Linked DNA regions of Coturnix japonica. The protein of the gene in region 1 purifies or fractionates together with the protein of each later gene. This does not show direct contact. Links are inferred from orthologs where the notes say so. Each region holds a gene or a part of one and is shown on either strand. Other genes may lie near its edges. The genes, in order: KIF3A and KIFAP3.

Region 1 (10,970 bases):
GCCGCAAGGTGGCTGCGTATGGCTTGTGACTCATGTTGTGGAACTTCCCCTGCTCACTGAAATGGGAGGAGGAAGACACCAAAAATCAGTAGTAGACAGATGTATTCCTTTATAGCCTTTCTCATGGCTAGATGGGGATTTTGGCTGTGGTTTAGGCAAAGGATTCATCTGTCCTGTGGATGTTCAGTAACTGGCTTCATTCTGGCATCCTGTTTTATGCTGATAGAGGAAAAACTTGACCTCTGGGGGTGTCTGTGTGCTAGCTGAAAAGCTGAATGGGAGCTACACATCCCTTATTTGGGAGCACTCTGGAAATCCCACGACAAAGTCTGCTTTGTCCTACGCTGTGATAAACTAGCATGTAGTGTCAGCCACAGAGAATGCTGCTGAACCTAGACTTGCAGGTCATGGTGTACCATAGAGAACTGTGGCTTGTAGGGAGCCTGCTACACCCATGGGAACTATGTTTATTTGTGGGGAGTAGGGAAGTCAAGCCCAGTGCTGTGCTTCAATTTCCAGTTTGTCCATTAAGTGCTGTCATTCAAACTGCCTTCCTGTCTTAAGGTACTCACATCTGTTTGAACAGCATTCCTGCATTAAATAGATTACCCTTTATTCTGATATCTGTCCAAGCAGTATCATAAATGACACCTTCCGAACCTTGTGTTGGTTGTAATACACCCTTTTACTTCATTTTTCCCCACTTGTTCTTTCTAGAAGCAGGAATCCATCAAGAAATAATTTCTACCCAAATCCACCACAAGAGAAAGCCATCTTCAAAGTACTGCTTGAAAAGAATAGGGGGGAAATAGCTGTCACTTAGCTAGAGCAGCCTGTTTGGAAGTTAAGTTCCCTAAGTAAGGCTGTGCTCAGCAGGAGCTTGCATAGTAACTGTCCCTGTGTAAGCTGATTCTCTCTTCTAGACTGTTAAATGTACATTGCCATGTACATAACAGTGGAAAAACTCCTGGTCACCAAATCTTCTATTAATGTAGATATCCACAGCCACCTTCACTGCAATCTGTTTTTCTGTGCTATTGCTTGAAATGGAAGCAGCCTTGGCATGAGATTTTAAGCTGTAGGCTTGTTAAGATGGGTTTTAACTGAACTGTCTCTCTGAGCATGCCATTCTGTGCTTGGAAGCGATGGCTTTGCAAGCTGAGTCTGGGAGGGATTCTAGCAAATGCTTCCTAATGAGAACTCTGTGCCTTTAAAACTATTTTGCCATTTCTTCTGGGTTTCTTTTCCTTAGAACTAACTTCCCATCTGCATGTTTCTTCCTCTCTGGTTTTTTCTGTGGGACTCATTTCTGTTTTCCAGGCAGTAGCAGCAGCAGTAGTTCAGACTCCACATGCTCTGTCATAGAGAAACCTCTGGATAAGTCCTTCACTAGTGAGTGGGAGCTCTTAAGTCCTTTAAGCTTTGGCCTTTCCATGATCTGTGCATTTCATTTTGCAATGCTGCACTCTTCCCTGCTATGTCTATTGGAACATAAATAAACCTGAACTTACAACTCAGCTAAAGCATGCCTTTCCTTTGTTGCTTTCACGCTTGCGATGGTGGTTTGATGTGCACGTTGTCAGCAAGACATGGGAATGGAGAGCAATTCAGTAGGCTTATTTAACAAGATTTAAGGACATTTGGGAAACATTAGGTTGAAGGTTTGCAATTCCTGTTTTTAAACAATCCCTCGAAAATGTCAAAAAGAAGTCTGAGCAGCTTTCTTCTTGGAAGCTGTTACACTGCATTAGATCTTGCCTTTCTAAAACTAAGTTTGGAGTGAATGATTGAACAGTCAGCAGTTAAGCTATGCAGGTTTTGTGCTTGCAAGGAAAACTTCGTTAACACTTTGGTTTTATTTTGGCAGACCTTCAAAAAACAAACCAAAACCTGGGCAGTGGTTGCTGCTTTTTGTCCAGCCTGCCTCATGACATTAAGTTTTTGGTCTCCACAGGAGGGCATAGTTGAGAAGAACAAAGGGTCTTGATTTCTAGCAGCAAGGAAGGTTTGGTCTGCTGCTGGTCAAAGAAAGGAACCTGTTTCTTTGAACAACTTACAATCACTGTATGCTTTTATTCAAACAAACAAACAAAAAAATCATATTTTGGACCTTGACTTGACCAGTTGTTGTGGTTATACTGTGTAGATGTAATCCTCACTTCTGCGTGTGGAGAACCTGGGAGGTCCTGCTGTATAGTTATACCTATGTAAATTTTTCTAGTTGTTTTGGTATAAAGCATCAGCTCAGGGGAAGTGTGGCCACAGGTAAGAGGACTCACAGCCTAAGTGTGACCTATGGATAATGGTGTTACACCTGGAAACCTGCTTGCTTCAAATTTGCTCTTTCAAAGCTTGCTTGAAACCTGAATATTTCAACCTCTTTGGATGAGGACAGTTAACAGCAAACCACTGATGTGGTGCTGGATGGATCAGTCCATCTCCTTCAAGTCTGAAGATGTTGTATAAGTTGCACTGAGCTGTTGTGGTTCATCTGTGTGGTTTGGGCTATTAACTGTCCTCACGTGTAGCCCTTTTGCATGTGGCGCCTTTCATCTTTTCCCTGACCTGCTTTTTTTACTGCATTTGCTTAAATAACCAAAACTGGCTCTATACCTCTATGGAAGCATCAGTTACTGCCAATTAACCTACTAATAAGTTACGTGCAATTGTCATTATCTTGCAAAAAACTGGCTTGGATTAACTTGGTTAAAACTTAAGTCTGTGTGCTAAGATTTTGCAGGTAATTTAAGAGAATTGACTGCCTTCAGGAAGGGGAAAAAACACTAGGTCTGTTAATCAAGAAGAAATCTACGATCTGTTTCTTAGGGCATGATCTTTGCGGCAGGCTCATAATGTTACACTTAAGTTCTGCATTGCATTGGATGGGCAGGAGAATGCAGGAGTGAGTTGAAACTATCCTGGATGTGCAAAGGACGTTACAGAAACATTCTGTGCTTTAGCACAAGATCACGATTCATTAATATTCACTCTAATGGAGTTTCACTTTTTAGTGATGATTATCCCGTTTTCTACTCTAGAAACATGCATGTAAAATCACTGCTCTGTTCTGATGCTGATAAACTTTGTTCCAAATGATCAAGCAATAATATATTTCTTTTCTTCCTTTTTATGTGTGCGCTGCCTCTCTGTGACGTGCTTTCTCCTTTCTCTTAATACAAGATCAAGCAGGTTGGTGTAATTTTGATTTTTCACTAATAGATTTTTCATCTCCTTGAAATACAATTGCAGAGCTCATTAAAGGGTCCTCCAGCTCAGCGTAGTTCACTCTTCTCCAAAACTGTGAATACACAGGCCTGTGTAATAATATGTTAGAAACCTTTATCTGGTTCACCTCTTCATTTGATGATCTCTGCGTAGCACTTGAGAAATAAAACTTTGAGTTTGGGTTACTTGAAAACTAACTAGTTTCTGCAGATGCAGAAATAAGTATTAAGTACCTAGCTCCTAAATTTAGCAGGTGGAAACCAAGATATTTTCTGCTGTAGCGCTGAAGTCCTTACAGTGCTCTTGTGTGCATGCATGTTTACAGGTGCCAGTGTATCTTTGCCTCTGCTGGAGGTTATAAGTGAATATAAACAAAAGTGAATGGCATGAAAACTGGAGGAAATGAGGCCTTTTAGTGAGCAACAACATTTTCAAGTGTGTTTTGACCATATGCATTACATCACTGTGAAAGCCTCTTAATTCTAGATAGCTTCTATTAGTTTCTAGCCATCTGGTTTCTGTGGATAATTCTCTCCTGTCCAGAGAAGAGCGAAACAAAGTGAAGGGTTTGTCATTTTGTAATGATTAAGGGGGGTCGTAAAACTTGGGAGAGACTTATGGATTTGGGGAGATCTGTACAGGCTGGATTCCAGTCTTTTCTTTTCCTTCTACTACGTAGTTAAGGTATCCAAGATTCCAACTCAAGCTTCTCCTTAGCCGTTGTTTCTTTTCCACAAGTATTCTTCATGCATTTTGTTCAGGCTTTTATATTCTAGTACATAGTTCTATAGTACTCCTTCATTGTAAGTACTGGAGGCAAATAAGCAGGCATTAAAATGGAATTTTAAAGACTGAGATGTGCTCATCTCAGAATCCGTGAGTTCTGACATTGATAACTGCACTTAATCATTTAATTTAACTTGTGATACAGAGACCGTATTATTTTTGTGATATTTTTCCCCCCTTTCTTTGAAAGGCAAAAAGAAAGTTTCCCCTGATAAGATGGTAGAGATGCAAGCAAAGATTGAAGAGGAGAGAAAAGCTCTTGAAACTAAGCTTGACATGGAAGAAGAAGAAAGAAATAAAGCCAGAGCAGAACTGGAGAAGAGAGAAAAAGATTTGCTTAAAGCTCAGTGAGTGCCCTGCTCTGAGTAGTTTTTGCGGTGTTGTGGGTTTTTCCTCCCTTAATCTACAAGTCAGATACCAATATGTGGAGATGCATAGTGAGATGCTAGTCAAGCTTTGTGTAAGCTGAACATCAGCTCTTGCTGTTATCAGAGTGAAAGAAGAGCTTCCTCTCTGCTTGCAGATTAGAGCAGGTAGCAAAAAGAAACATTATTCTTCCACCACTCTTCTCTTAGCCTTATCTAGTTGAGATGGCCTAGAAACTTAAAATGAATACTCTGAACTCTGAAGACTAGTGAAGAGCAGCAGGACTGCTGTACTGCTTGCTAGTGGGCAGTAGCTGTATAGCAAAGTGAATTTTATACAGCTCGTGCCCGTGGTGTGGGCATGCTACTGTGTGTAGGTGATCTCCATGCTGGAGCTGAGGAGCTGCTGAGATCACATTTGCTTATACAGGTCGGACAGTCTCTCCCTCAGCAGAGGCTGCTCAACATTCCTGGCTTACCTCTCAGCTGCACAGCTGAGACCTCGTTTCACTTGCTTCTGTTCCATTACAACCTGTTGCAGTATGTCTGAATCCCAGCATCATTGTGCTGGGCCCTTGGGGAGGGAGGGAGCACCCTGTGTATCCTGGTAGCACCACTGGCGCCTGGCAGCCCCTGACAGAGGGAAACTGCAGCAGGAGAGACTTGTTTGCTGAGTTGGTTTTGTTTGCATGAAAGTGATGGGACCTGGAGTTAAGGAAATCCTTGTACACTGCCTCACCCCTACTTTAAACCCTTGGCAGCTTGGCAAGTTTTTCAAGCCCTATGAGTGCTGTCTGGGCTGTAAAAACTGAGCTGAACCTGGCTGCCTTGTGAGCACCTTGAGACAGGAAGTTCCCAGCTTTACTTGTCTCTGTCTCTCTAGACAAGAGCACCAGTCTCTTCTGGAGAAACTGTCTGCGCTGGAGAAGAAGGTGATTGTAGGAGGAGTGGACTTGCTGGCAAAAGCAGAAGAACAAGAGAAGCTTCTAGAAGAATCAAATATGGAGCTGGAAGAACGAAGGAGGAGAGCAGAGCAGCTTCGCAAGGAACTTGAGGAGAAGGAGGTGGGTTATACTCCCAGCTATCTGGAGGTGGTAGGACACTGTGTTACTTGCCTTTGCCTCTTTGTGTGGATGAAATATGGCACTACTCTGAAGCACAGTAGAAATCAAACATTTTAGAGGCATGTATAACCAGTGCTCACCTGCAGGACAGTGAAATCATTGTGAGTGTCAGCCAGCCTGGCTAAGCCAGGTATCCATGCCCTTGGCAAATGCTTTGTTTTGTCCAAGTAGCTTCCCTTCCTGTTCATGTTGCTGCAAATATTTTCTTTGATTATGCTAATGTGTGGATATCTGTTAAATGTTGCTTTACAGCAAGAACGCTTGGACATTGAGGAGAAGTATACCAGCCTCCAGGAAGAAGCACAGGGAAAAACAAAAAAGCTGAAGAAAGTTTGGACCATGCTTATGGCTGCAAAATCAGAGGTCAGTGTTCTGAAGCATTCAGCTTGTGGTGGAGGAACTGTAGGTGGAAAGAGCAGGCCATCAACTTTGTCTCTCTGGCTTGAGTGCTACAGGTTTAGAAATACTAGTGTGTTGTCTGTTCGGTTTACGCAACTTTAAAGAACAAATTAAGCTTTGTGTCAGATCTGCACAGGGGTACATTGTAGAGCTTTTCCTCAAGGAAAACCATTGGTTATTTCTGAGCAAAGTTAAAGTTGTTTGGCAGTCCAGTCTCCTGCTTTGCAGCTGCTCGAATCCACATCTGCTCTTAGTTTGCTGCTTTTTGTGCATGTTGCTCTTATTCTCTCTCAGTCACATTCAATCAGTATGTCACTTGGCTGGTATCTAGGCTCCCTGATTCATGAAAGCATGTTTTTTATCTTTGGGAGCTGAGATTTTCCTTGGGATCTTGCCAGATACAGAATTTGTTTGCACGCTTTGCCTGCTTTTGATGTAAAACTTGGACTGACAGCTAATTTCATCTTTTTTGAAGCCAAGAACTTAATACTGCTTTTAACCATCTCTGAGCTAGAATGTTTCGGAGGGTTTGTTCTTGAGAGAAATATTCTGGTACTTCTAACTAGAGTTTGCTTTCATTTCTCTAAAACATACAGGCAGAAAACAGTTCTTTTAAGTTGTTATCGTGTCTTATATTAATTCTGACCTCTCATATGCTTTGTCCACAGATGGCAGATCTGCAACAAGAGCATCAGAGAGAGATTGAAGGCTTACTGGAGAATATTCGGCAGCTGAGCAGGGAACTTCGTCTTCAGATGCTTATCATAGACAACTTCATTCCTCAGGACTACCAGGTACTACTGAGAGCTGAAGCCTTTGATGTGGTCGTATACAGTATTCAGTTAGCCCCCTAGCATTATTTAGTCCATCAACAAATGGAATGAGTTGGCTTCCAAAGGCATTGACAGTCAACTTGTCTGACACTTCTCTGTTAAGCTGTAGTACGAATGTACATAAGTGGAATGTTCTTACTGCTATTATGATTGCATTGACTTATGATAAATCCATGCTTTAGTGGGAACTTTGTTGTGCACAGCTTGGGAGTGATGTTTTTCTGTAGTTTCCTTAGTCTTCAGATTACAAAATAGGGGTTTTGAATGTGGTATGGCTGTCTGGATTAAAAATACATTGGAGTGGTCAAGGCTGTTCTTAAGCAACCTGTCTACACATCTGGAGTGTAGATTGTGCAGTTCTGTAACAGTAACTCTAATTTCTTTCTAGGAAATGATTGAGAACTATGTTCACTGGAATGAAGACATTGGAGAATGGCAGCTGGTAAGCTAGCTTACATACAAGCTAATGTTAGCATAAGCTTTTGAGGAATTTAACCTAGCCCAGAAGTAAACTGATAAAGCTGTACAGTGCTCAGTAAAACCGACTGCATTTCACTAACTGACCTTTCTTGTTTTTAAGAAATGTGTTGCATATACAGGAAACAATATGAGGAAACAGACTCCTGTCCTGGACAAGAAAGAAAAAGATGTGAGTAACTCTTAATAAGCCTGTATTGAACTCTGTAGGACTAAGTTCTGCTTTCTGTGTTTACCACTTTGTATTCATGGGAAAACTGTCCAACTTCAGTTTTCTTGTTGGAAGTCTTTCTAGTGTTACAAAAGAGCAACTGATCAGTGTACCAAACAGTTCTGATATTTTGCTGTTTTTCCTTAGCCCTTTGAGGTGGACCTTTCCCACGTTTACTTAGCTTACACTGAAGAAAGCTTGAGGCAATCTCTGATGAAGCTTGAGAGGCCGAGGACTTCAAAGGGAAGATCCAGGCCCAAGACTGGTCGAAGGTGAAGAACTTTGGAGTATCTGTATGTAATGGGGAGTTTTCCCAGGGGAAGGCTTAAGCTGATGCCTGCAAACTTGAGACAAATGTTTGTAGACTTATGGCTAAGGCAATATGCTAAAATTCTGCATGATAGAAGGGTTACTGATGTCAAGTGTAGTAGAACCAGGCTGAAATCTTTTACTGTGCTAAAATATTGTCCAGAAAGTTTGGTCTGTGGGGGGTGTTTGATTTCCTGATTTCACATTCCCCTCTTCTGGCTGCTTGTTTTTATTTCACTGATTGCTGGTTCAGTTTAACCAGTGACACGCTGACAGCACATATACTTTCATTACTAGGAAGTTATGTCTGTTGGGGAAGATTTCAGCATGGGTGTTCCTGATCCTTTGTGAAAATGATGTGTAGTTGTGACCTGAGAAGTGGCTGGTCCCTGTCTTTCCTGGACAGTATAATGATGTGTGTGGTATTATTTCTCTTTTCCTTTTTGCTCTCCAAACAGAAAACGTTCTGCAAAGCCAAGCGCTGTCATTGACTCTCTGCTGCAGTAGGTGTGACGTGTTCAGAATTGCCGTAAAAATCAGTGAGTGTGAAAGGTTTGGCCAGAATATGGAATTTGAGATGGGACAGTTTGAAGTGGCTATGAAATCCATGCCTTGCTGGTATGGAGCTTTAATTAAAATATGTATTTTTCCTTAGTTGCCTGTAAACTGTATGTTATATTAACATAATATTAAACTGGTATATTTTATGGTTGTGAAATTCCATGTGTTAAACAATGTGTTGTGCAGGGAACTGTTGTTGGTAATCTTTCTTGAAATGTATAGAAAATAAGGATTCTATATGTGTTCAAGTACTAGACATAATAGCTCAAAATGGTTGCTGGAATCCTGAAACTTAATGCTGGTAAATCTGTGTCCTGCTTTGCACATAACTGGCAGCTTTCACTGTTGTCTTCTGTTGCACTGATCTGTTTGGATGCGGTTGCTGCAAACCTTTGAGTTAAGAGCATCAAGCCCTTTTATTTGAGTATTTCACTGTAGTTATTAAGCTGATCATATTGTGTATTTGAGACACAACTCTCTTTATTTGCAGTCTTGCTGTACAAAAAGTAGTTGAGTAGAAGAGTACTTAGAACTACATAAGTCTGAGGTTTGTGGGAAGGGACCATACTCTGTTTGAGTGCAACACTAGTAGTCTAATGCTTTGATTTTCGTCTATTTGTGTGATCTGCTGGCAACGTGGAGAGTGAGGGCTGATGCACAGATAAGAGAACTCTTCCTCCTCTTAAGATGCTGCGTTGCTGCATTGCTTTGGCTGCTTTTTATGCTTCTGAGCTGGAAGCTGTTTTAATTGGTGTGCATTGTTTTGTTGTAGTCTGGACAGCACACATTATTTGAGGGGAAGGCTTTAATACTAGAGGGACTGAGCACTATGGCTCCATTGTCTCATCCCTGGCCACAGCTGAGGATGAATTTCTCCTGTGTTGGAACAGACACGAATCTCCCAGTTTTCTCAGAATAACATCCTCTGAAATAGGTGATGCTGTTCGTGTCTGTGTGCACCACCTCCTGCTTCTGACTATGCTTCGAGGGGAAAGAAATCTGGTCTCTGCTGATAACCAATTGTGGTGGCTGCTCTTTTTCTTTCCTTTTTGTGCTGCTAATAGACACTGAACGCCTCAATACATTGCTTTTGTGTCACAAAAATGCATCTCCTTTGGGCTGTGCACTGTATTAATACCTGCTGGAGTGCAGCAGCTGCAGGTACCTTAGCAGTTCCCATGTCACTGTGGTGTTAATTAGGTATTCTCTTCCATATAATCTTAGTGTGTTACCTAGAGTTACAAAAAAAAAGCTGTGATTAATAACACAGACTGGATACGTAAGTTTGACGTAAGGAGCAAGAAATCTTGGGTGTCTCGTTCCTGATGGTAACCATGTCTGCAATTACCAGAACATTCCTGTGAAGTGCTGACTGCCCTTAGAAGCAGATAGCCCTTTCTTATTGTCACAGTGTTGAACTGGATGCACCTCGTGAGTCTGTAACTAAGCTCTAGATGTAACAGTTAAAATTGGTCTTGCAGGGGCGTATTTTGATCTGGAAAAGCATTCAGTGCAATTCAAAATGAGTTCTGACCTTTCCCCCGTGATTTTTCTGGTGTATTTCTCAGAATCATGGCCATGGAGGAGGAAGTTCAGCCAGCTTTGTCACCCAAATGCGTAAGAGCTGCAAATACGAGCAGTGGCAGCTTTTTCTAGTCCAGCATTTGGAAAGAGGTAAAGAGTCAGGAGTTCTGTCTGATCTAAACTAGTTAGATTTCTTCTTGAAGAGTTCATCTTGTCTTAGAAACAGGCACGAATGTTCTGGTCTGAGCAGGCTTTGGTCCATTCTCAGAACAATGGCAGACTTTATTTCCTCTTTTTAATGTCTTGCTGTGCTCCATTCTGTTGAATGGTCTGTTCTTAGGAGTGTTTCTCCTGAACTGTACTCTCAGTTCTCTGAATCCTTCACTCAACAGACCAGCAGCAGATGAAAACTAGGACTGTGCATCCTGACTCTGCATTTACAACGTATACAGTTTAATCACAGAGGTTTATGTTTGGCTTGAACTCCTGTTATTTCTGCTGAAAACAAAAGCGCTCTGCATATCTTATAGATCCATGGGGGAGAGAAAAACATCAAATGAACAATTGCACAGCTTTGTAATTAGATGAGAGGAACTGGTGATTTCCTGTTACAGGGGCTTGCTTTGGAGAACAAATGTTCTGCTCTTTCCAGAGGGCTTTGTTTTGGCATAGAGCACAGTCTTCATGATGATCTGTCAGCTTGACTTACCTTTTCACTGTGCTGTTTTGCTTAAGTTTTGGAAACTTCCTTTCAAAACAGAGCCCTGCTTGCAGGTTTGCTCTATCAGCCCTCTGCAGCTCTGGACAGTCTGCAATGTCAAATGTCCCTTTACTGTGTCTTAAAGGGGAAAGACTTAAGTTCATGTAGGTTTTGATGGCTCAGTCGATGGAGCCATCTCCATCCCAGGCCAGTACATGCCACTTAACTGCAACACGTGTGTTATGTGTATTCATTTTTTACATCTCATCACCAGAAGCTTCCTCTCATTCCAGCAAATCGCAGAGTTTCTCTGGCTGTATGTTATTGAATGCTGTGTAAATGAATCATTTCAGAATTAACTTGTTATGGAACCTTTCATCGGGTTCAAGGGAAGTGAAAATGGTCCTTAGTGCCTTTCAGTATCTAACTCAGTCTGCACACCCAGCTCTCACCTTT
Region 2 (10,970 bases), on another chromosome or scaffold:
GTTAATGCTTTTGTTATCAGCTGCTTAGTTTCTTCCTCCATGGAATTGTTATGCATATTGCAGCTTGTTCTCTGTAAGGTTTAATAATCTTCTGAAGAAAGAAGTAAAATGACATAATGCTCCCTGTATTGGAGTTCTTTTTGTCTCTCTGCTTTACGTCATAGAGGTATAGGATGGCAATTGTTCCTCACTAATCAGTAGCTGTTAACATTTGTTAAAAGCGGGATCTCAACTAAGATGCATTAGTAGTTGTTTCTGAGGGGTATTACCAGGATCAGCCACTTCCAGAGACCTCTCCCAGGGAAATGGTAGAAAGAGTTTATCCATTGGATGAAGCTGAACATTTATCAATGTTTCCAACACCTTTTGTTGCTTTCTTCTTTCCCTTCCTTACAGCCAGTGCAGTTTCCAGGTGTCTTAGGGGCTGTTATGTTTGTTAAGGGAAGCTGTGCAATGTGGGACTAATTTTTCAGTAAGTAGATACTGCTGTGTTAGTAGTTTTATTCAGCAGCCTTTGTTTTATGGAATCCAGAAGAATAAGTACATAAAGACACAGCTTCACATCCAGCATGAACTTGAGAGTAAAATCTACTTGGCTTCCTTTCTTTCCTTGGCTATGTTAGGGGCTGGTAGCACTCCATTTTCCACTACCAAAAAACCACAGGCTGTAAAGGTAACTCATCCTAGATGGCAAATGGTGAATCAGTAAGGTCTCAAAACCCTCAGGTCTTGAAAGACATCCTGCAATGTAGATTCTATTGTATGATAAAGTAGGCTCTGAACACTGAAGTATTCAGCTGCATGGTGTTCTTACACTGCCAGTACCTTCTGAAGTGTCTGAACAGACATAGTCTCTAGGATTGTTGAAATTTCTTATCAGTGCTAAGTCCACAACAAGAGAAACTTAAGTTTGCAGTCTTGTTCCATACATGCTGACAGGGTTAGTTCTTCTGATATTGGAATTCAGAAAGTAAAAGATGGAGAAGAGAGATTTGATAATAATTTCTTCTCGAGGAGATAAATGCTGCTTTCACTCATCCATAAGCTCTATGTAGTGTGATTGAAATAACACTGTAGAAAATCAGATGCCTTATAAGCCTTAGGGGAGATGTGCTTTCTATAGTAAAGTAATTGTCACAGAAATTATGGAAATGTTACACTAGTGATGATTTGTTTAGTACAGTTTGGCTGGACTCTGCCATTGATGAAGTGAAACAGATGTGTTGCTTTAGCATAATATGTTCTGGGAAGCCTTGGCTTTTTGCTGGTGCAAGCAAGATACTGCTTTTGTTTAAAAATCTGTGTTGATAATTTAGAAAAGCTTTGGTTTAGTGTCACGTGCTGAGCCTTAACACCGAGCAGTTAACTGAGTGGAGCTGTACACCTACAGCTGGACAGGTTGTACGGCTCAGCTGAAAGCCTGGAATCAACAGCGGGCTTCTCAAGCAAATGAGGTTTGCCATTCCTCTGGTCCTGGACATCTGTTCTTGATGCTTGTGAAATAAATGTCAGTTTACTCAAGAAGGTTTTACTCTGTTCACATCCGACAGTATTATCAAGAGCTGATGAAATTATTAATGGCTCAGCTTTCTTGTCTTCTGTTCTTTGCTTTCCCTTATTGCTATTAAATGCTTTTCTTAGTTTATTTAAAGGATATTTAACCGTAGTCAGGTCTTTAGACTTCAGTCTAATGAGCTTTCCCACTCACCAGTTTTCAGACAGATTTCCTGTTTGGTTTTTTTTTTTTACAGCTTTGAATCCAGGCCCACTGTACCATCTTATTTCCTTTATGATGTAGAGTGAATTATTTTCCTTTGTGCAGAAGTAAAAAAAACAAAGATATAGCTACAGCACTGTGATCTAATGTCCATATGCTTAAGGTATTTTTAAGGTGTGGTATTTTGGTTGGTTTTTTTTTCCAGCTCTCATTGTTTTTCCCAAAATACTTGTAATGAAAGCCAAGCGATATTTCTCAGGTGGAAAGCTGTGTTAATGAATAGTTTGCATCTTTGTCTATTAACCAGACACTGTGACCCAAGTTCTCCATGTTGCAGATGCTGGAAGTTCACATAAGAGGCAGGAATGTGCTGTGAATCCTCAGGGATTTGGGGCCAGCTGTTCAAGATGTTGACCAGTGCTCTGAAAATCAAGGAAGACCAGACCACAGGGATTTGGCATGGGCTTTATTTGAGTAGGCACTGTATTCTGAACACAGATAACCTTTGACTCCAGCCCGGTGTCCTCCTTCTGTGTGCGCTGTACTCACTCCAGGAAAAGAGTTTCTACCTTCATTTGTCAAGGCTCCTTATTTCCATGCTGTTGTGTACCTCTGTTATCTTCTAACAGTCGTGAATGCAGAGAGGTGGGCAGTAGAAGCAAGTAGGATGTGGGACTGCTGGCCGTACTGTTGACTTGTATTTTCATTGTTCAATTTCTACATTATGAAATTAGAAATCAGTCCACTTGGGTGCCAGTAGCTTTTTGTTGCAAAGAGCATCCAGCAGGAAGACTCCACATGGACTAGACAAATAACCACCCTACAGGGAGTGTAAAACAGGGCATGTGGGTTCTGATTCTTTTGTATTCACCTAAGTGTGCCCATGCAGATTTCCTTCGAGCATTGGTACTTGTTCTTTGGGATTCAGAAGCTAGAAAGGTGAGCTGAACCAGTGGTCTCTTTTCCTTCCATTACAGTTGGCCAATTAGATACCTATAATTTTTTCAAGGAAAAAAGACAAAGTGTTTTTAATGTAGACGCCTAAGCTTAGGGGACGTGAATGTTTCTTCTTTTTGCTACTTGGCCATTAATTTCATTTCGTAGGTTTTTACTTGTCTATCAGCATATATTTAGTGATGAGGCTACTTGCAGAGAGGTTGTGCAAGCAGAAGTTATAGAAGAATTCCTTTTGACCTGTCAGTGAATTGCCCTCTGGTACCACTTAGCCCAAGGTAGGCGTCATAGATGCCCGCAGAAGGTGATCCATACCATCTGTTTCTATCCTTGCTTTATAGAGGTGTGTAGTTTTAAATTACGTGCCTAAATCTTGGTTAGCTAGACAAGATAAATCTTTCCTTAACTAAAAAAGTGGTTAATTTGACCTTTCTTGTAAACTGTATGTTTTAGGAATGTTTAAATAACGAAGAATGTAACATATCACTTTACCGACTACGGCCTTAAATGTAACGAGCATTCAGCTTACTGTATAGCAGTTTTAGTTTAGTATGAGGAATCGCATCAAATGAACCCTATTACAGACCCAATTAAAGGGCAACCACATTAAAGTGAAAAGGAAAATCTGTTTTTCATCAGCTGTGAGAGAACACAAAGCAGATCTGTGTAGCTCTATGTTATCCTATAGTGTGTTAATCAGATACAAGGTGTGACGGAAGCCAGTGACAAAAGGGACCCCTGATAGGGAACAGACACGCTCTGATAATAGGCCAGTTAACGCTTCATAATATTTCAATGGTTCAGTAGTAAACAAAGTTGGAAGCAGAACTTCAAAAAGGATGGCACATTCCTTGCGGAGTCAAACCATACATCTCCCGTGTCACGTTGGGATTTATGGAAACCGAATGTTAAAAACGGTGATGTCAGGGAGCTCCAAAGAGAATAAAATCAACCTTCAGGATTCCTCCTTTTATGTTGCTGCCCATGCTGTATTCGGGGTGAGGGGTGGAGAATGGGCACATTCCATCTGCTGCTTTTCTGCTGGACTGGTGTTCAAAAGCACTGGAGGGGACAAAGCTGTGTTTGTCTCCATAGTGTTTAGTTTTCTGGTTTAATTTTTGCAGGCATTCCTTAGTTTCAAGAAGGCACTTTTAATAGCTGAAAATATAATTACTGGAAGCCTTACTGTGTTTTAGGGAATTGTTTTGCCCTAAATTTCTTTAATTTGGTTTCTTTAATTTGGTTTCTTTGTGCCTTTTGGCCATAGTTCTGCATTTACAGCTTTTCTTCCATTCTGATGTTGTTCCATTAATCATTTACCCAGTGGTGTTTCTGCACATTTCTGTGGAAAATTTACAGACGTACCCTTGATCACGCAGTACTTAAATGAACTTTTTTGTGTCGAGGTTATGTAAATCATTGGAGATTGCTGCAAATCATCCTTTTCTAGGATTGCTGCCAGAATGAAACCCTTGATGCAGCTCCTCAGTGATCCTATTGATGGCGTGGCCATCTCTTTGTTCTTGGTCATTCATGGCGAAGTGCAGGTTACAGACCCAGAAACCAGACTGTCTGTTGGAACTGGTAGCGTGGGATTTGCAAGTGATGTGTGACTGTGTTCAGTCTCAGAACCAATAATCTGCCAGTCAGTTGCTCATCCTGTTTTCCAAAACTTTATGAATGATTGAGGGGAAATACCAGCAGGTTTGAAGCCTCCTAGTGTAAGGAGAGGAATGTAGAACGCATAGGAGTGTTCAGTCTTGTTGCTTTCTAAAAAAAAAGTGGTGTTAACTGTTTTGTTTCCAGAAGGATACGAAGTTAATGTCTATTTGTGGGGGAACGTCCAACCAGTTTGAACGGTAGCATGGAATGGGGCAGTGGGGTTGGCTAAATGGGATTCCTTTGTGTTGTAATTTCTGGGAGGTTAACCCGTTTTCAAAGCTCTGTGATGGTAAATGTGAAGTAGAGATGCAGCTACTGCCCTTTCTGCTTTCGGGAACTTTTAGAAGTAAACAAGGTAATGTGAAAGGAATTCAGCTTTCCCGTGGATTAATCTAATTTACTGTTTGTTTGGTTTCTTTCTTTCTTCCACCCCTTTGCAATTGTGATTTCTGAGAATAGTTTTGCTAAGACTACAGTGTGATCTCTGGCAGTTACAAGGTGTTTCTCTAAAGCTTGTAAGTAATTCACAACTGCTGGGAGCTGATATAATAGTCCACGTTTTAGCTCTGGCAGATGCAGCAAAGTAGATGTTCCCAAGATGGCTTGTCAGGTGGCACTGAAAGTCCTGCTTTCATTCTTTCTTTCCCTGGATCATTTTATAGGCATTGATGCTGAGCCTTCCTTTCCCAGGGATTGCTCTGGGATTTCCATTTAATTGAGAGCTGAAGTGTGTGTGGGGAAATATCAAGAAGCAGAAACAGCATGAGGTGTTCTTTTTCCACACGGTGTGAGGTGTGAGGTTGGTTGCTTTGTTTTCCTCCCTAAGGACACCGCATTACTGTACGGTTGACAGGAGCTTGGAATTTTGCTGCAGGCTAACAGGGACTGGGAGCCTCCATTGATCCCACAGGTGATGCTTGTTCTGTGCGTGGGCGCTGTGCATGAGAGCAGGTGTTGAACAGAACTGCCTGAGTGCCTGGATGGTGCAGAAGGGAACTACTAAGATCACATAACCGCTGCTGATCAGACACGGATTCTAAGAAATAGGGAATGATACCACAGACTGATCATGGCCCCAGATTTGCAGCGTGCATGGATGTCCCATCAAAAAGGAATTCACCTCCTGCTCTAAGCCAGGAGAAACAAACTTCTTGTTCCTCCAAGTAAAACGGTTTTAAGACCCACTGCCATAGCATAATGGTTTGTGGTTGTACAATGCAACGTGATTCCTTGTGGAATCTTGGAGGCTTGAGATAGGCTGGTTAGCAGAGTTGGGGTATCCTCTGCCAGAAGGACTGAACCAGCTTGGTTTTTTTTTGTGTGTGTGTTATCAGCAGTCAGAAGGGTGGAAAAGGCAAAGGCTAGATAGACAGTGTGGTACCCACGTCAGGTTAACAGCAGTGAAGACAAGGTATCCTGACAAGTAAGTTTAAAAGCTCAAATTCAGTCCATAGGGCTTTTAGAAGTTTAACCCCCAAGCTACTAAACCAACTTATTCTGTCTTCACTGCTATTTTTTGACCTCGGGTTGTAGACAGATCTGCTTTTGCATGTCTAGCTGGAGCAGTTTAAGAAGTTACTACTTCTGCAGCCAAGATGTTGTTAATTGTATGAACAATCTTCCCTTCTGGGCTAAGTAAAATGGATTTTAAAAACCTTAAAGTGCTCCAGGTAGATCTCAGAGGGCAGCCTGTCTAGAGCATATGTTAACTATCTTGAGGTAAGAAATGGTTTTCAATTTCTGCCTGTTTTGGAGTTCAGTTAGAAGACAGTGAGGTGGAAGTGCTGAGACCTGCCTTACAGGGTGTTTCTTCCCACAAATAGAAATGCTTTGTTGGTTATGAATGTTGTTCTCGGTCACAATTCTTTGATTAAAAGAAGGTAATAGCCACTGTGCATTATTTGTGCATCTTCTTAAACTGATAATACCTGCAACTTTAATATGTTCACATGTGTCTATAGGTAAACAACAGCCCAGGCAGTCTGTTTTGCTTAGAGGAGCCTTCTAAACAGCTGATTGCACTGACTGCTGTGACTTTTCCTTCTGATATTCCTTTACACTGAATATCACATCATCAGAGAGTGCAGTTATTCCAGCCCAAAATTTCGTGACTACCTTTTGTTTCCATAGTAGTCTATACCTATATCCTGCTTCCCTCAGCATTCTGGAGAAGTTCTTCTCTGACTTTGTCTTTGCTTCCTGTATTCATGAATGTTGTGTGCCAATTTTGTGGGTGTTCAATATTAAAAGTAGCAATTTGTTTTGAAGTTTGTCAGGAAGCTGAGAACTAAATCCTGTTTTTCAGGTGCTCATGAAACAAAGGCTTAACTGGTTTTATCACTACCCTTTTTGTTCTTTTTGAGTAATTAGAACAGGTTGCTCAGAGGGGTTGTGGATGCCCCCTCCCTGGCAGCATTCAAGGTGAGGCTCAATGGATGGGGCTGTGAGCAGCGTGGGCTGGTGGGAAGCGTCCCTGCCTAGCAGGAGGGTTGGAACTACATGATCATAAAGGTCTCCCTTCCAACCCAAAGCATTCTATGATTCTGTAATGAATGCTTGTCTAATGAGATCAAACAGTATTTGGCCAGTGTTAGTGTTTTATTCCTGCAGACCCTCTGAAAATTGGCTGTAATAGGCTCTTCCTGATGGTCCAGGTGGGGAGACCATGATGATTGAACTCCCTTGCTCAAAGCAGGAGAGTTTTCTGGGCAGTGCAGAGTTACAGACCGTGAAGGGAAGATTGTACTGCTGCTGCACGTACAAAACCAGAGCGAGGCCTGGTGTTTGGAAAATATTGCCTTTATTGCTCAAAGCGTTCTACACACTTAAAAGATTTAAGTCAGTGAGTGCTGAAACTTGAATCTTTTGCTGATGTTAAATTCCTCTGCTATTTCCTGTTAAACCAAACAGGTCTTTGTCTATTCTTCATCGCAGCCTCTTGTGTGGTCATTTTTGGTTTGGTTTTTTTTTTTTTTTACTAACAGGAATATGATGAGGAATGGGCGAAAAAAATCCAGAGTGAGAAATTTCGATGGCACAACTCTCAGTGGCTGGAGATGGTGGAGAGTCGGCAGATGGATGACAGTGAGCAGTATCTGTATGGGGACGATCCTATTGAGCCCTACATCCATGAAGGAGATATTCTGGAAAGACCTGATCTCTACTACAACGCAGGTAAGAGCACACGTTGGTATTCAGCGCAGGGATAGCTGCCTCTCTTTGTATTTGAAACCAGGATCTGGCCTGTTGCTGTAGGAAGAATGCTCAGAGCAGTGGTAAAACTGTCTCTGTGTGTCAGTGGGAGCAGTGCTGATGCATATTTGCTGGGGATTTGTGTCCTCCCTCCAGGGGTTGCTTTTGCCAACCCTTTCAGGTACAGTATCAGCCTGCAGGGAGATCTCATGAAATAAGTTACCCACTGGATTAATGTCTTCATAGCCTTCAACAACTAGGGGTTGGCTTACGCATTCAAGCTTGTGGTTTTATTTCCTTTTCAAACTCCTGCATAGCTGTGTATGTGCGTGTGGCTTTTGAATTTTCCATACAAGTGTCCAGTCCTTTGCTATGAAGCATGAGTCACAAAACTCTGACTCTGGATGGATTTGCAGGAGTATTAATAAGACAAACAAAACCACTGAAATCAGTCAGCTTTATTTGCAGTTACTGTGAGAAAATTAATATGCAGTATCTCCATAGCATTTAAAAAGTAATTCTCAAAATAGATCAGAATTCAAGGATTCTTATTCATCTGTGTGGCTATGTATGTCAGCCGTAGCAACTTGCCTCTCCAGTGGTAAGGCTTTTCTTTTTTTGTTCTCCTTTTTGAATCCTGCAGCTTTATTTCACAGTACTTGGACCTCCAAGATGAGCGGTGTAAGCTATGTGTAGTATGGTACCAGGCTCTCTAATTACACCAAGTCGTCTTCAGGCTTCCTGAGTTGGAGGCGTGACAGTGTGCCTGTTGTGGTGCCCGCTTTACAGGCAGCATTTCATTTCACAGGGCCACTTATTTCCAAACAGTGTGAGCTGGAAACGGAGTGTCACTGTAAGCAGTGAGTTCCCTGGTTTTTAACCATTTATGTTATGTGCTTAATGTTATCTGAACAAAGATTTTTGTGTTGGAATTGCGACTTGACCAGTAAGGAGGGGCGGATTTCCAGTGATATGTTCTGCAGATGTTTGTAAAACGCTTTTGTTTTGGCAAGTATAAAACTAAGGGAATATATTCAAAATGCAGATTCCCTTCTCAGGTTCCTTCCAGCAAGTGCCAATAAGGACGTGCTTCTAAACTCTGCCAGATTTATACCTTCGAGATGGGGCCAGAAGGGACATAACTCTTCTCTAAAAAGTCTACAGATGGTTGTAGCAGTTGGAGTAGGCAGTTGGGTTTGTGAAAGATGGAGCATTAGTTGATCAGAAATGAGGAAAAATAATAGCTCTTCTTGCAGCCACAAGTGACATGTTTGTATTTTGGTGACCTGTGCTGATAGCTCACACAGTACATATCTGTCCTCAGCTGGAACAATATCAGCTTGCTGTTGACAAGGTGGGTTCCTATTGGAATAATATGTCGAATATCTCTTGAAAAGTGATCTAATCCTACCTCAAAACTTGGTAGAATCTTTGGAATCACCTTTGAGTTCAGTGTCTCCTTTGCTTCGAAGGTACTTAACCCTAATTTGTGTTGAAACGTACATAACAACAGATGGTCCTTTAACTGTAATCGCATTATATGCTGCTGATGGTATCCATGTGCTTCCTTTTTCATTTAAATTCATGGGAGCCATAAGTCTGAGCGCTATGGCTTGTATCTTAGTGAAGACGTTTTAAGCAGTGGTAACTCTGGCCTCACAGTGAAAATATAACGCTTGTTTTATTGATAGAAAAAAGTGAGGTATTTGAAAGCAGATAAACTTCCTATTAAGTTTTAAGCTCACCCATTTAAGACACAGTCACTTAGTGTGATTGTTTTCCCTATGAAACGCTCCAAGTGTAGAAATGCTAATGTGAAAAATACACAGATAGGAAATCTTGGCCTGTATTCATAGCTTTCCTCCCTTTTCTATGGCCCTTCGTCGTTCTTATGCTATCACAGAATTTGTGTCTATCCGAATATGCTGAAAGACAGTAATACAGATCTGTGCCACAATATTTGCTTGTCAAGTGATACCCTTTCACATACTGTACGCACATGTATACAATTAGAATACAGCCATTTACAGCTATCTTATGCTGCTAGAACATAGTCTGACTGTGGCTAGCATTTTCCATTTACAATCTGTAGCATTGTATTGGGTCACTTTCCCATGAGGTAGTATCTCCTCAATGAATCTCCATAGCACCTCATCAAACGTCTGTTGGAAATCTAGATGTGTCAATTCTATTCCTTTCATCATTTGTCACTATATTATCTTCAAAAAACCATCAGGTGAATTCATAAAGCATGGGGAGATTTGTTTGAATGCCTGAGTCGTCATCTTTAAGCCCCTGTGTCTGTAAGTAACTTTCCACTGCTTCCTGCACAGGCAGTTTTAGTGGATTTGAAACCGCAGAGGTTAAGCTGAGTGGCCTGTGATTCCCTGTGTCTTATCTCTCTTACTTTAAAGTGGAATGGCATTTCTAACTTCCTAGTCATTAGGAATCTCTCTCCTCTGGTAAACTATTGAATTGTCCATCAGAATGTACCTGTTTCTGCCTGGTTCTGACTGGGCTGCTTCCTGCTCTGTCAAGCTCGGATCATTTTCATACAATAATGGAAACAAACCGAGACAGGCTCTGTTTTAATTAAATTGTTTGACCTAGTGAGAGCCTGATATTACCAGGTAATAACTGTGCCCTTAATATTAACAAGGAGTGAGTTTTGGGGTTGGGAACAGGAAGGAGTTAAGCTGGGCTCTCATTCAGCTGGGGTCAGTTCACTGACTTCACTTCAAAGACGCTCTGGATTTACGCTGCTGTAAATGGGGGAAGATGTCAACCCCTGAGACTGTAAAGCCTTTAAGGAGTACTACTGGCCTTACATCTTTGTATGCTGATGCCTTCAATATAAAGGAAGCAAAAGAAAACAGTAGTACTTGTTTTTGTGGTTGCATCACATGAGACCACTCTTTTAGGAGATAAGTAGCAAAATGACACTGAAACTGGGGATGTCGGAAGAGAGTTGATTTTGAAGCTGCTTTCCTGTTGGTGTTTCTCATTTGCTTTCTTAGCCAATTTTAAAAGATACTGTGGTGAGAGGCAGAGTCTTGATGAATTAAAACCTTTGTTGCTCTTCTGCTTTTGTGCTGTTACCATAGACATGTGTTTGACCCTTCTCATTGCTTTTTCCTCTGTGCTCACTTTCATTGATGGGGCAGACAGTGTGGGTCTTGATATAGTCTCTCCAGACCATAAGATGAAGAGGTAAGAGAATTCTCCTTAGGTGCAGTTGTCCTCTAGGGCAGTAGGCTAGTTGTGGAGTCCTGGTGCATTTTCTGTTGTAGCCAAAGTCTCTCTTTCTCAGTATTATTGTTGCTTGACGCTCCTCCCAGAAATATTCCATGTTGTTAACCAATTTCTGAGACAAACCAGCGCAGAGTATGTTGCCTACTTGCTTTGAAGTTGTGCTCCTTCTTACAGTCTCTGTATCTTCCTTATT

Evidence for each region.
Region 2: the proteins of KIF3A (region 1) and KIFAP3 purify together in Homo sapiens (co-immunoprecipitation; 9 studies listed by BioGRID and IntAct, counting the BioPlex papers as one, with this or other methods). This does not show direct contact. The link is inferred for Coturnix japonica from reciprocal best matches to the Homo sapiens genes KIF3A and KIFAP3.

Annotation. Positions count from the first base shown.
Region 1 is NC_029528.1:1,222,484-1,233,453, forward strand, and holds part of KIF3A (kinesin-like protein KIF3A), read left to right. Parts: intron 1-1,320; coding exon 1,321-1,392; intron 1,393-3,180; coding exon 3,181-3,189; intron 3,190-4,201; coding exon 4,202-4,358; intron 4,359-5,259; coding exon 5,260-5,440; intron 5,441-5,752; coding exon 5,753-5,863; intron 5,864-6,567; coding exon 6,568-6,693; intron 6,694-7,120; coding exon 7,121-7,174; intron 7,175-7,312; coding exon 7,313-7,381; intron 7,382-7,567; coding exon 7,568-7,692; intron 7,693-8,187; coding exon 8,188-8,236; 3' UTR 8,237-10,970. UniProt on the Homo sapiens protein: Microtubule-based anterograde translocator for membranous organelles. Plus end-directed microtubule sliding activity in vitro. Plays a role in primary cilia formation. Plays a role in centriole cohesion and subdistal appendage organization and function.
Region 2 is NC_029523.1:6,580,796-6,591,765, reverse strand, and holds part of KIFAP3 (kinesin-associated protein 3), read left to right. Parts: intron 1-7,317; coding exon 7,318-7,507; intron 7,508-10,970. UniProt on the Homo sapiens protein: Involved in tethering the chromosomes to the spindle pole and in chromosome movement. Binds to the tail domain of the KIF3A/KIF3B heterodimer to form a heterotrimeric KIF3 complex and may regulate the membrane binding of this complex.